Linked DNA regions of Danio rerio. The protein of the gene in region 2 interacts with the protein of the main gene of each other region in a pairwise test. Links are inferred from orthologs where the notes say so. Each region holds a gene or a part of one and is shown on either strand. Other genes may lie near its edges.

Region 1 (4,102 bases), on a different chromosome or scaffold from region 2:
GATTCAGAAGAGCTGTCAGATGAGGAGGACTCTGTGTCTTTCTTTTTCTGTTTCTTCTTGTGCTTCCTTTCTTTCTCTCTCTTCTCCTTCTTCCCTTTCTTCTTATTGCTCTTGCGCTTTTTCTTCTTTTTGCTCATTTCATCCTCCTCCTCATCACTGGATGAATAAGACCTGGAGGTATGAAAACAAGATAATCAAACAGGATGCTGATAACGATAGCTAAACAATACATAACCTTCACAAACAGAAGAATTAAATAATTTTTCACAATAAATCAATGCAAGAACATATTTATGAAGAACGAGCAATTAGGGATGTCCCAATCAGGTTTTTTTGGCCCTCGAGTCTGAGTGAATTGTTTGTGAGTATCTGCCTATACCGAAACTGATCCGATACTTCTATAATGCCAAAAGAATAAAGAGCAAAAAAAAAAAAAAAACAGATCCAGGATGTTATGTTATTTTTACATTTAAAAACTCTGTTATGAAACAGAGCACTTCTGTGTGGTAGCTTGAACACAATCAAGCAATTAATAACAAATTCTTCACTTTTGGACTTTAGTGCAGCAGTAAATCTATTATAAAAACAAATAGCACCTCAACTTAAAATACCTGGCATGCAATCCTAACTTTACATATCTCACATATTGCTATGGCAATGTTGTCGTCATCAACTTTATGATACCTTCAGACCACAGGCATACTCCTGCTATATATATCCTGACCAGGAGGTTACGTCCGATTCTCATCAAGTCTGAAACCACGTGAACGGGCCCAATTTCCGATCATGTGATCGGATCTGGACATCCCTACCAGCAATACCCTAAAACAGTGGTAACCAAACTTGTTCCTGGAGGGCCGGTGTCCAGCAGATTTTTGCTCCAACCCTAATCAAACACACCTGAACAAGCGAATCAAGGTCTTACTAGGTATACTTGACAAATCCATGCAGGTGTGCTGAGGCAAGTTCAAGCTAAACCCTGCAGGGACACCAGCCCTCCAGGACCGAGATTGGTGACCCCTGCCCTAAAACATACATTTATTATAAATGTATCATCTTAATTGGATTTTTTTATTCTTTAAATTATGACAAAATAAAAAGTCTACCTCTTTTTTGCTTTTCCACGTGATCTCTCCTTGCTTTTCTTTTTATGCTTTTCTTTTCTAGAATCTTCCTGTGAACCTGTGTAGAAAACACCAATTTTTACAAAACGATCTTACTGTGGCAAATGATCACTGCAAAATCAGGGACTAACAGCAATGTCAGTATCCAGGTAAAGGAGTCACTGAAATGGTAAAGAGCCAAGACAGAATCGGAGTCTAAAGCGGTGAATAAACCTTTTGAATGGCTGCCGAAAATCTTTTCTTTACTGAGAGCTTCCTGCTCCTCCTCATCGCTCTCCTCGGTGCTGGTGCTGCTCACGTCCAAAACAATATCCTTCCTTGGATCCACGCGAAGAAAGTTACGACATTCAAAGGTAAGATGACCAGCTGATCAAAGGAGAGAAAGAATATATAGTTTGATTGTATTTATGCATAGACACACTTGTAAGTACACATAAATGTAATTCAATCAAAACTTTAAATATGCATTTTGTAAAGATGGATAAGTTAAATCGATCTATAGAGATACATGGATAGATATACAGAAAACAAGAAATGTAACACAAGCCAAACGTCAAATATGTTCACGTTTAGACCACGGGTGTCCAAACTGGGTCCTGGAGGGCCGATGACCTGCATATTTTAGTTCCAACCCCAATTAAACACATCTAAACCAGCTTATCAAGCTCTTCCAGGAAGGTCTATTGAAAGAAGTTGGATCTAAACTATGAAGGACACTCCAGGACTGAGTTTGGACACCCCTGGTTTAGACAGATAAATGGGCAAACAAATCCAAATTCATATGAAAATGTTAAAATATGTATTTTTGTAGATAAACAGAAAAACTGTCAAAAGTAAACGTAAATTAAACTTTAAATATATATTTGTGTAAAGAAAGACAAAAAAAAAAAAAAAAAAAACGCCATCCAAACAACACTTCAATTAAGTATTTATGTATATATTTATCTGTGGATTTGTGTGTAGATAGAAAGATGGTACATGGATAGATGGACTATGATTCATTATCTTTATTTATTTACAAGCAGAAATATAGAAAAAAAATCTACTTATAAACTGAAATATTGTTGGAAAGAAACTACAGAACAAAAAAAAAAAGCAAAAACAAAGTCAACTGTAAAGTTATGTTTTTGCCATACTCACGATAGCCACATCTTTTACATCCAGCTCTGATGTTGTCTTTATTTGGACCTGTTCATAAAAAGACATTCAATTCAATTTATATTTCTTTAAAAGTGTCATTTACATTGTTACATATATTCTGTATTGATCATATTTCATAATGGATTCATCTAGCTCACCATTTAAAACAATATCAAAGAAAGTATGTAGAATTAAAATAATGCGTCGTCATGAGATTTTATAAACATTATTAATCAGTAAACCGTAACTGTAAATGTAAAACATTCAGGAATTCAGGAACAACAGTCTTTTATTTAGGTAAATGTGTGCGATGTGAATGTCCAGACGAGCGAAGATAATCGTGCAGTGTTACTACCTAGAATAATCCCGAAGTAGCATATCAACAACAATCAGCAATGCTTATGGACAAACCCACAAAAGTATACCTGGGGCAGCCATGTTGTACTCGATTATAAATAGATAGAAATGATAACTTTCGTCGTATTCCGTCCGCCGCTTTTCAAAACACAAAACCGATCCGTCTGGTAAAAGAGTCCGGGTGGAAAGTGAACGAGTGCTCTATGGTACCATTTGGAGAACAGTTAATCCCTTCCATAGATGCATGAAAAATATGAATGTATTACGAAATATTAGCGCTAAAAAGATAAACGCAAGATGCTGCACTGAAAACCAATAAATATTGTCACGATAAGAGATAATTTGCCATATCTTTATGGTTTATCTGAATTTTGAGATATTGGCTTAAGCAACAATTTTTGGGGATACATTTTTCTGAATAGAAAGACACAATTTTCACTCGCAGGACAAAATGTTTTAAAAAATGCCAACACTACAATACTATACTACACGCTATAATTCAAAGACGACAATATAAGTGGAGATTATTTTCGTGATGTGCCCTGAAGTTTTAAACTTTACACATAAAACATGGTCATATTGATTATAATGATTGCTTGTAAAAATAAAAATCTGTCTCTCAATGTTCTATAATCTAAATGGTACGTTTATATTTACTCCGAGACTATAGGGGGCGATAAGGCCGAACAAAGTCTGCATGACGAATGAACGAAACTCTGCGGCGGCGTGACATGAAGCGCTTGTAAACAGAACATACTCTGGTACTTTATATCGGCTAGACGTGCTTCTTATGTTTTTGTAACATCTGCGCATATTCTGTACATTCTCTGTCATCAATGAAACCGTGGTGAGGGAAGTATACTCCAATAATACGCACTAAAGATGAGCAACATATATATTCAAGAGCCACCAACTAATGGAAAGGTGAGTTTCCATATCTCAAAATCATATTCATGATATATAATACTGCATATACACTAATTTGAGTCTGATTTTGCTTGCAATTTAAGTATTTTATTTACTTGCATTTTAATTATGAATTATGCAACGAATCAGTATTTTACGAGAACAAGCAAGTTAGTACCTTTATACATTTGTTCACGTATTTTAGAAACAGAATGGCTTATTAAACCTTTAAACTAATGCTTTAAAAAAACGAAAAAAACAATGAAAAGGTTTACACACATGTACATTTAAGATAAAAGAATATTCTCATATGTAATACAGCTCATCAGGGTGAAATTCTAAAAACCTTTAAATTGGTGAGATCTTTACTCTTTAATAGTGATCTTTAATAATGTGTATATAATATAATATATCTGACTACTTAAATAATACACAAGTGTTTAAGTTGTCATTCTAAATCTCCCAATAATATGTATTTAATAATAAAATGCTTCGGCGACGCAGTAGGTTGTACTGTCGCCTTACAGCAAGAAGGTCACTGGTTCGAGCCTCGGCTGAGTCAGTTGGCGTTTTTG
Region 2 (3,500 bases):
GAACTTTAGCTACTGTTTTTGCATTCACTAACATTAACTAATGGACTATTATTGAGTAGTGTTTTCAACGTTAGTTCTGCTGGGGCTTCATAAATGAGACCTGCAGTGTGTACGGTGAGCACACAGCCGACTCGGTCATCCTCTCAGGTGTATTTTCTCATCCTCAGGTGTATTTTGTGTATGATGAAGAGGTGGAGGAAGAAGAAGCTCCTCCGCCACCCACCCCGGAGCCCATAGTCCAGGTCAACGACAAACCACACAAATTCAAGGACCACTACTGCAAGAAACCCAAGTTCTGTGACGTCTGCGCACGGATGATTGTTCGTAAGTTCACATTGATAGCAAGTTACAATAACAGCACACATATTGTCTCAACCCTTTGCCTCATATGTTTGCATTGTTAAGGTAAACTGTTCTTGCCAAAATGAATGATCAGATACACACATAAGTTGCAGAAGAAACTCTACGATATGAAACGTATGCGCTGTGTGGTGTCTCTACTTTCAGTCAATAATAAGTTTGCGCTGCGCTGTAAAAACTGCAAGACCAACATCCACCACTCCTGCCAGTCATACGTGCAGTTCCAGAGATGCTTCGGCAAAATAGTGAGATGAAAAAAATATTTAATATACATGATTAACCCAGACGCTCAGCTTGAGTTTGATTAATCTCCCTCTCTCCATCAGCCTCCTGGGTTCAGACGGGCGTACAGCTCTCCTCTCTATGACCAGGAGATCAATAACCCGGGTGAGTCACATGTGTTAATAATCAGAGGTCATTTCTGATTTACATTACCATTTAGTCATTTAGCAGAAGCTTTTATCCAAAGCGACTTACAAATGAGGACAAGGAAGCAATTTACACAACTATAAGAGCAACAATGAAGAAATGCTGTAGGCGAGTTTCAGGAGTGTAAAGTGTAAGAAGCAAAGCATTAGTAATTTATTTCTTTTGTGTAATCCAGTTAGTGGTGGAGCCAGAGAGGCAATTGCAGATTAGGAAGTGAAGTGGAAAATAAACAGTTGAGTTTTTAGTCGTTTCTTGAAGACAGCGAGTGACTCTGCCGTTCTGATGCAGTTAGGGAGTTCATTCCACCAACTGGGCAGATTGAGCGCGAGAGTTCGGGAAAGTGATTTCTTCCCTCTTTGGGATGGAACCACGAGGCGACGTTCATTCACAGAACGCAAGTTTCTGGAGGACACATACATCTGCAGAAGTGAGAGCAGATAAGGAGCAAAGCCAGGAGTCGCTTTGTAGGCAAACATCAGAGCTTTGAATTTGATGCGAGCAGCAACTGGCAGCCAGTGCAAACGGATGAGCAGCGGAGTGACATGTGCTCTTTTAGCTTCATTAAAGACCACTCGTGCTGCTGCGTTCTGAAGCAGCTGAAGAGGCTTAATTTACATTAAAACAACTCTTGATGATGATGATAAGGGATGAAGCTGTGTTTAAAACACATTCAATATGCTGATAATTGTTGAAATGTGTACTAAACAACGAGAGATGAAGCTCTCTGCTCATGTAGTCTGTTATTTTAAAGCTTTAGCTTTCGGACTATAGATAGATGCAAAAGTTATAGATGCTCCCTCAAATAGTCCACTATTTAGGAGAGTATAGGGGTTAATTTTGAACACAGCTGTTGATTAGCTTGTTCTAGTGTGTTTGATGCAATAGTATCTGAATGCAGCCTTTATGATGCAAGCTGTGATTATATCACTCAGCGATGCAATGTCAGACACAGTGCACTCAATGGAGTGAGTGACATCACTGTGACGGGTAGGGTAAGGGGTGGGGTTTGGTGAGAGCATTAAAAAGCATTGGATGCAGCCCAGATTGCATCTGCGACAGCTCTGCATCCAGACATCCTCGATTGATGAGGGTTGGACTAAACTCTGCAGGATTAAGGCCCTTCAGGAACAAAGTTCTCCATCTCTGAACTGAACACTAACCTACAGAAGCATGTCTGTGCACAGGTCAGCAGAACCGCACAGATCCGGTGTTCGACACGCTGAGAGTCGGAGTGATCATGGCCAATAAAGAGAGGAAGAAAGGCTCAGAGGACAAGAAGAACGTAAGTGACCACAGGATATCAGGATGTTACTTATGTACCTGGCAGGTCTACTGGAGGATTGGGCAAGCAGGAGCCGATGGTAGTGCATCAGGAGAAGTATGAAGATGAACTGAGTGAAGATGCTGAGAGAGAGCAGCTCCTTCACAATTCATCTTCATAAACACCACGGTATACTTCCAATAAAGTGCTTGTTTTCTTTGTTTGTAGGCAAAAAGAAGCTTAATAAGACTGAGTGAAGTAAACTGTTTCTGTAAAAGAAGTGAGACTTTAGGACCAGACAAGACCTGCAGCACAGAGACTGTTGTAGATGTGTCTGAGCTCTCGCTGTTACCTATTATGAATGAATGAATGTATGTGTGTGTGTGTGTGTCTCCTGAAGATGATGATGATGATGATGGAGGAGGAGGAAGCTCAACAGCCCAAAGAGGATGAAGAGGGCGCTGAGGGTAAGCATATCTGCACCGTGTGGTTTTGGGTTGATTTCGACCTTTATTCTGACATGTGCGTCTTCCTTCAGTCTCTCTGAGGTTTTGTGGTGCTGTGTTCATGTGGTGTACAGAGGGGTATGGAGGAGGCAATTAGCCTCTCCTGATGAGGAGAGGCTACCTGATGAGCCTCTTCTAGTGTGTGAGCATTTAAGGTGCACAAGTAACGCGCTCTGCGCTGGACTTTAGACCTGCTTTTAGATGATCTATTGCACAGTCCATTTTAGTTTCTTAGAATAGCAGTGCTCCAACAATGCGCCTTAACACACCTCCTTTTCAGACCAGAAAAACCCATGCGTCCACAAAGTGGTGCAAATGGATTTATTATTTAAACAACATGGCACAAATTATGAAAATTACTGTTGCATTGGTCTGAAAATAGCAACACATTGCGGCATACCCGTCTTCTGCCTTATTGCACCAGGTGTATGATAAGGCCATAAAACTTGGTCATGTTTTGAGACTGCTTGGATAAAACACAGTCCATTATAAAATGATCTTTGTTTGCAGTGTGGTTATCACAAATGATGTAAAGCATGTTAATGAGCATGTTTTCTTTGAATTCTAGTGATGTCTTGAACTTTAACTACCTTCAAACATGAGCTTGGCCTGCTAATTTAGTTGTTTTATTAACGAGAAAAACATTTTGAAGGGAGGTTGCATCCACACTGGCTTTATGTATGAATTACCTACAGAATTAAGTGCTGAATGGGCATACTGTATACTTCATTGATAGGGAAGCAAGATGGAGACAAGAAAGACAAAACCGCAACAGATGACAAGGTAAAAGACTGCTGTGCTGTGCTGTGTGTGTCAGAAAAGAAAAATAATCCTCTTTTTAAGATTGGACTGGCATGTCAACATTAGGAAGCCTTTTCCTAGCTTCATGAGCCTTGACTCCAGAATCTTACTGGTATTGCCTAAAAGCTTCAAGTGTGCCTGCA
Region 3 (3,991 bases), about 37 Mb from region 2:
CATTTACTCATATTTACTAGTTCCAAACCAAAGGTTTCTTTCTTCTGTTAAACACAAAATAAGATATTCTGTTACTTCATTAGTTATTTTTGTTTTCCTACTATAGGAGTCAACGTGTGCCAGCAACCAACATTCTTCAAAATATCTTCTTGGTCAACAGAAAATAATCTCATAAAACCACAGGGGAGGGAGAGTAAAGGGTGAGGTAATTTTCATTTTTGGGTGAACTACCCCTTTAATGTCTCACAGTAAATTCCATAATAATATATTTTTTATTATTTTGTTATACAACCTTCAAACTCTATTAAGTGTTTATAATTCTCTGCCTACAATAAAACATTACCGTATTTTCCATTATTGACAAAACATTTCCTTTATTTAATAATTAGTTCATTCATTCAATCAGACATTTCTTTATTGATTATGACTATACTGTGCTGTAAGTTCCACTTCCAATACCTATATAACATTTAGTTTGTTTATTTATTTAGACATTTGTTCACTTTATCTTCACCACAGACAGTCAATGTATGTTAAAGGCTGTAGTGCAAGTGATTGTGACAGGGTTTTTTTCATATCATCATCACCTGATCTGTACTGAATTGAACCATGTAAGGTCATCCAATTCATCCACAATTGGTATAGTGGTCAATGAGTTTTTGACTTAGGCTACAGAGGGCTCCAAACTGAAAAATTAAGCCGGCAAGTTATTGTATATTATTTTTAAGCATTTGATTATTTCTTAATATTTGATTTGTCCCACAGTTGCTCTCATTGTTGATATATATTGTTTACAATACATGCATATTTTTGTTCATGTTATTTTAGTATGTGAAGTATGAGAATCCAGAGGCTTGGTGTAGTTTTACATTATATAGCCTTTATAATGGCCTCTTTTTAATGCTTTTTTTTTTTTGTTAAATTTAGCATACTTTAATTCAATAAATTCCAACTCACGTAAGTTGATAAACAACATTAACAACAACAATTGTGATCCAGTTGCGTGTTTATAATCAGCATATGGCGCAGTCTGCTGGATTAAAACCAAATGTTTATATTCAAATGAGTGTGATCGGTCATGTGAGTAAGCAATTGGTGAACTAATTTGCCCAGAGGAACATACAAGCTTTTTAGCATCTCGGGAATCAATATTGTGAAATCAATGGCTCTGCTGAAGTGCTTTTCCCTTGTGCGATTTGTGTTGCACGTACACAGGGACACAAAAGAATTGCAAAAAAGGCCACAAAGACACAACATTAAGCTCTGCTGCTGAAAAGAAGACTTAAAATAGCATCTGAAAAGAGCTTATTGTAAGCGTAGACTACAACATGACCAACTGCACAGATGAAGATCTGGATAACTATTTGCTAAATCAGGTGACCTACTTATGCTGTCATTGGTTTTATTGAGCACCGAGATCTAAACTAAACTGTTAATGTGTTATTAGTTTTTATTATAACCATTTCATTTGGTGTTTTAATTAAACAATAATAATTTTAGATGGCTTATTTTTAGAGTTTTTAAAAATTATTTTATTCAGTGTTTGTTCTGCTCTAATCGAATGTGTTATTGTCTTGTTTTTAGCTTAAATGTTTTATATGCGAATATGCTGTACTACTCACAATCTTTACATCTTACCATAGTCTTCATAATTGACATGTTTGTTAGTTTTTTTTGTTGTTGTTATTTACTTAAATATCTATTTGTTGTTAGACTATCCAGTTTTTCTTAACACAGGCTGCATAGCATTTATTTATTTGTTTATTTTTTATTTATTATTTATTAATTTAATTAATTTATTTTATTTATTTATTCAATTATTTATTTGTAGTCAGATGAAAATATGTTTAATTCTTTATTCTTTTTATTCCTCATTTCTTGTTTTATTTTATTTTTGTATGGTAATAAAATATTTTTATTTTATTTTATTTGTAGTTGCATAACTTGTTTTATTTTATTTTATTTTGTTTATTATGCTGTCTTAGTGGTGTAATGTTTTTATTTCTTGTTTATTTTCTTTATTTTTTATTTAAAATTTGTGTTAATAAAATAAAAATAATAAACAAATAGCTAGAGGATTTCTTTTTATTTAGTTTCATTTTATTTGAGTTTAGTGTAGTATTTCAGATAGATTCAATAAAAATAAAAAAAACATTCCTTTTTTGGTTTATTCTGCTGTTTCTGATGTTAAATGTATCGTCAGGTGGATCTCAGACATCGGCAGGTTTCAAAGTGTGTCGAAGATGTGCAGAAAATCATCAAAGATCTTACTACGGAGGTCAGCTCAAAAGACGCTCGCTTCCAGTCCATCGCAAATGCTGGAGTTCATAACGCCAGCCTCAAAGTAATGCTTCACATAGGCCTCATCTATATAAAAAATACTAACTGCATTATAATGCTGGATTTATAACATCATGTTTTTTCTTGTGTCCACAATCTAATTCAGGACCAGCCTGCTTTAATGTCAAAATGGTCTGCATTACTCAGAGGGAGATGTGCATACAACCCTGCCATACAAGTAAGCAGTAGTATTTATTAAAAAGGTATAGATCAACCCCAACATTTAAATTCTATAATTAAAATTACTAGGTAAGTCAATGGGGAGCTGAACCAATTTTGGCACCATTATCATTGGACATTCTTTAAAATATCTTCTTTAATGTACCGCAGAAGAATGAAGGACATACAGGTTTGAAACAAGTAAATGGTGTCAAAATTGTACTTTTCCTATTTACTGTTGTAAACTTTAACTGGTGTTATTATGTAACATGCATGCAGCTACAAATACTTTTGCTGCGGTACTTTTGCAGCATTTACATAGGCCAGAGTGCACTGTTTGATTCAGATCTATATTCTAAAGGTTTTTACAGTGGCACCCCAGGTCTAGAAAATTATATTTTAATATTTTTGGACTAGACAAAAGACAAAAAGTCAGAGTAAGAAAAGCTTATATTATACAGTAGATAAACAGAATAGATGTACTGATTAGTTTGATGTTTTTTTTGGGTGACTTGTGCAGGTCCTCTCTCCAACCCTGTACCTGATCTCAGTGCCTCTGCAGGGCCTGATGGGCTATAAAGAGAGACGGACACGTCAGTGGCGTTATTATACACTGACTGGCTCTCGTCTCCTCTCACCTGTTCGTGAGCCGGAGAAGCTCCACCAATGGCTTGAGCTGGAGAGTTTTGTCAACCCGAGTCAGGAGTGGCACGATGCCCGCATGACCATCGAAGGTGACATTGTGCCAGCCAAGGTGGTGAACGTCTTCAAAGATCTTCTGGAGACGTCTATAAAGACCCGCGGACTGACAAGTTAGAGTTTTAATATTTGTTTAATCTGTGTGTAAATGCTGGTGAATAATGAAAAATCTCTATACACTAATGATATTCTAGTCACAAACAGAATATTAATATGCTTGATTTAATTTGATGTCTCGATATATGTTCTGTTGATAACTGGATAACAGATTTATTTATTTATTAACCTTTTATTTTTGTTTTGTTATCCTCTTATAATATCTTTTCATATTATAGATTCCATAAGTAGCACAACATTTAATCTTCTGTTTGTTTTATACACCATATACACCATATACAGTTGAAGTCAGAATTATTAGCCCCCCTGAATTATTAGCGCCCCTGTTTATTTTTTTCCCCAATTTCTGTTTAATGGAGAGAAGATTGTTTCAGCACATTTCTAAGCATAATAGTTTTAAAAACTTATTTCTAATAACTGATTTATTTTATCTTTGCCATGATGACAGTAAATAATATTTTACTAGATATTTTTTAAGACCCTTCTATACAGCTTAAAGTGACATTTAAAGGCTTAACTAGGGTAATAAGGTGAACTAGGCAGGTTAGGGGAATTAGGCAAGTTATTGTATAACGGTGGTTTGTTCTGTAGATTATCGAGAAAAAAAAATTGCTTAAAGGGGCTAATAATCTTGTCTCATAAATTGTGTTAAAAAAATTAATAACTGCTTTTATTC

What was found.
Region 1: the proteins of stac3 (region 2) and srek1ip1 interact in binary tests that used the Homo sapiens proteins (3 or more experiments, as listed by UniProt). The two-hybrid records come from large-scale screens. The link is inferred for Danio rerio from reciprocal best matches to the Homo sapiens genes STAC3 and SREK1IP1.
Region 3: the proteins of stac3 (region 2) and mab21l3 interact in binary tests that used the Homo sapiens proteins (3 or more experiments, as listed by UniProt). The two-hybrid records come from large-scale screens. The link is inferred for Danio rerio from reciprocal best matches to the Homo sapiens genes STAC3 and MAB21L3.

The regions. Positions count from the first base shown.
Region 1 is NC_133185.1:12,053,266-12,057,367, forward strand, and holds the start of srek1ip1 (protein SREK1IP1), read right to left. Parts: upstream 2,801-4,102; 5' UTR 2,703-2,800; coding exon 2,690-2,702; intron 2,313-2,689; coding exon 2,265-2,312; intron 1,491-2,264; coding exon 1,338-1,490; intron 1,183-1,337; coding exon 1,107-1,182; intron 172-1,106; coding exon 1-171. Other genes in the region: spliceosome-associated protein CWC27 homolog, read left to right, coding at 3,504-3,545. UniProt on the Homo sapiens protein: Possible splicing regulator involved in the control of cellular survival.
Region 2 is NC_133184.1:267,660-271,159, forward strand, and holds part of stac3 (SH3 and cysteine-rich domain-containing protein 3), read left to right. Parts: intron 1-167; coding exon 168-324; intron 325-507; coding exon 508-605; intron 606-686; coding exon 687-747; intron 748-1,973; coding exon 1,974-2,071; intron 2,072-2,450; coding exon 2,451-2,517; intron 2,518-3,292; coding exon 3,293-3,339; intron 3,340-3,500. UniProt on the Homo sapiens protein: Required for normal excitation-contraction coupling in skeletal muscle and for normal muscle contraction in response to membrane depolarization. Required for normal Ca(2+) release from the sarcplasmic reticulum, which ultimately leads to muscle contraction.
Region 3 is NC_133184.1:37,578,377-37,582,367, forward strand, and holds the start of mab21l3 (protein mab-21-like 3), read left to right. Parts: upstream 1-1,191; 5' UTR 1,192-1,328; coding exon 1,329-1,376; intron 1,377-2,203; coding exon 2,204-2,344; intron 2,345-2,446; coding exon 2,447-2,518; intron 2,519-3,019; coding exon 3,020-3,311; intron 3,312-3,991.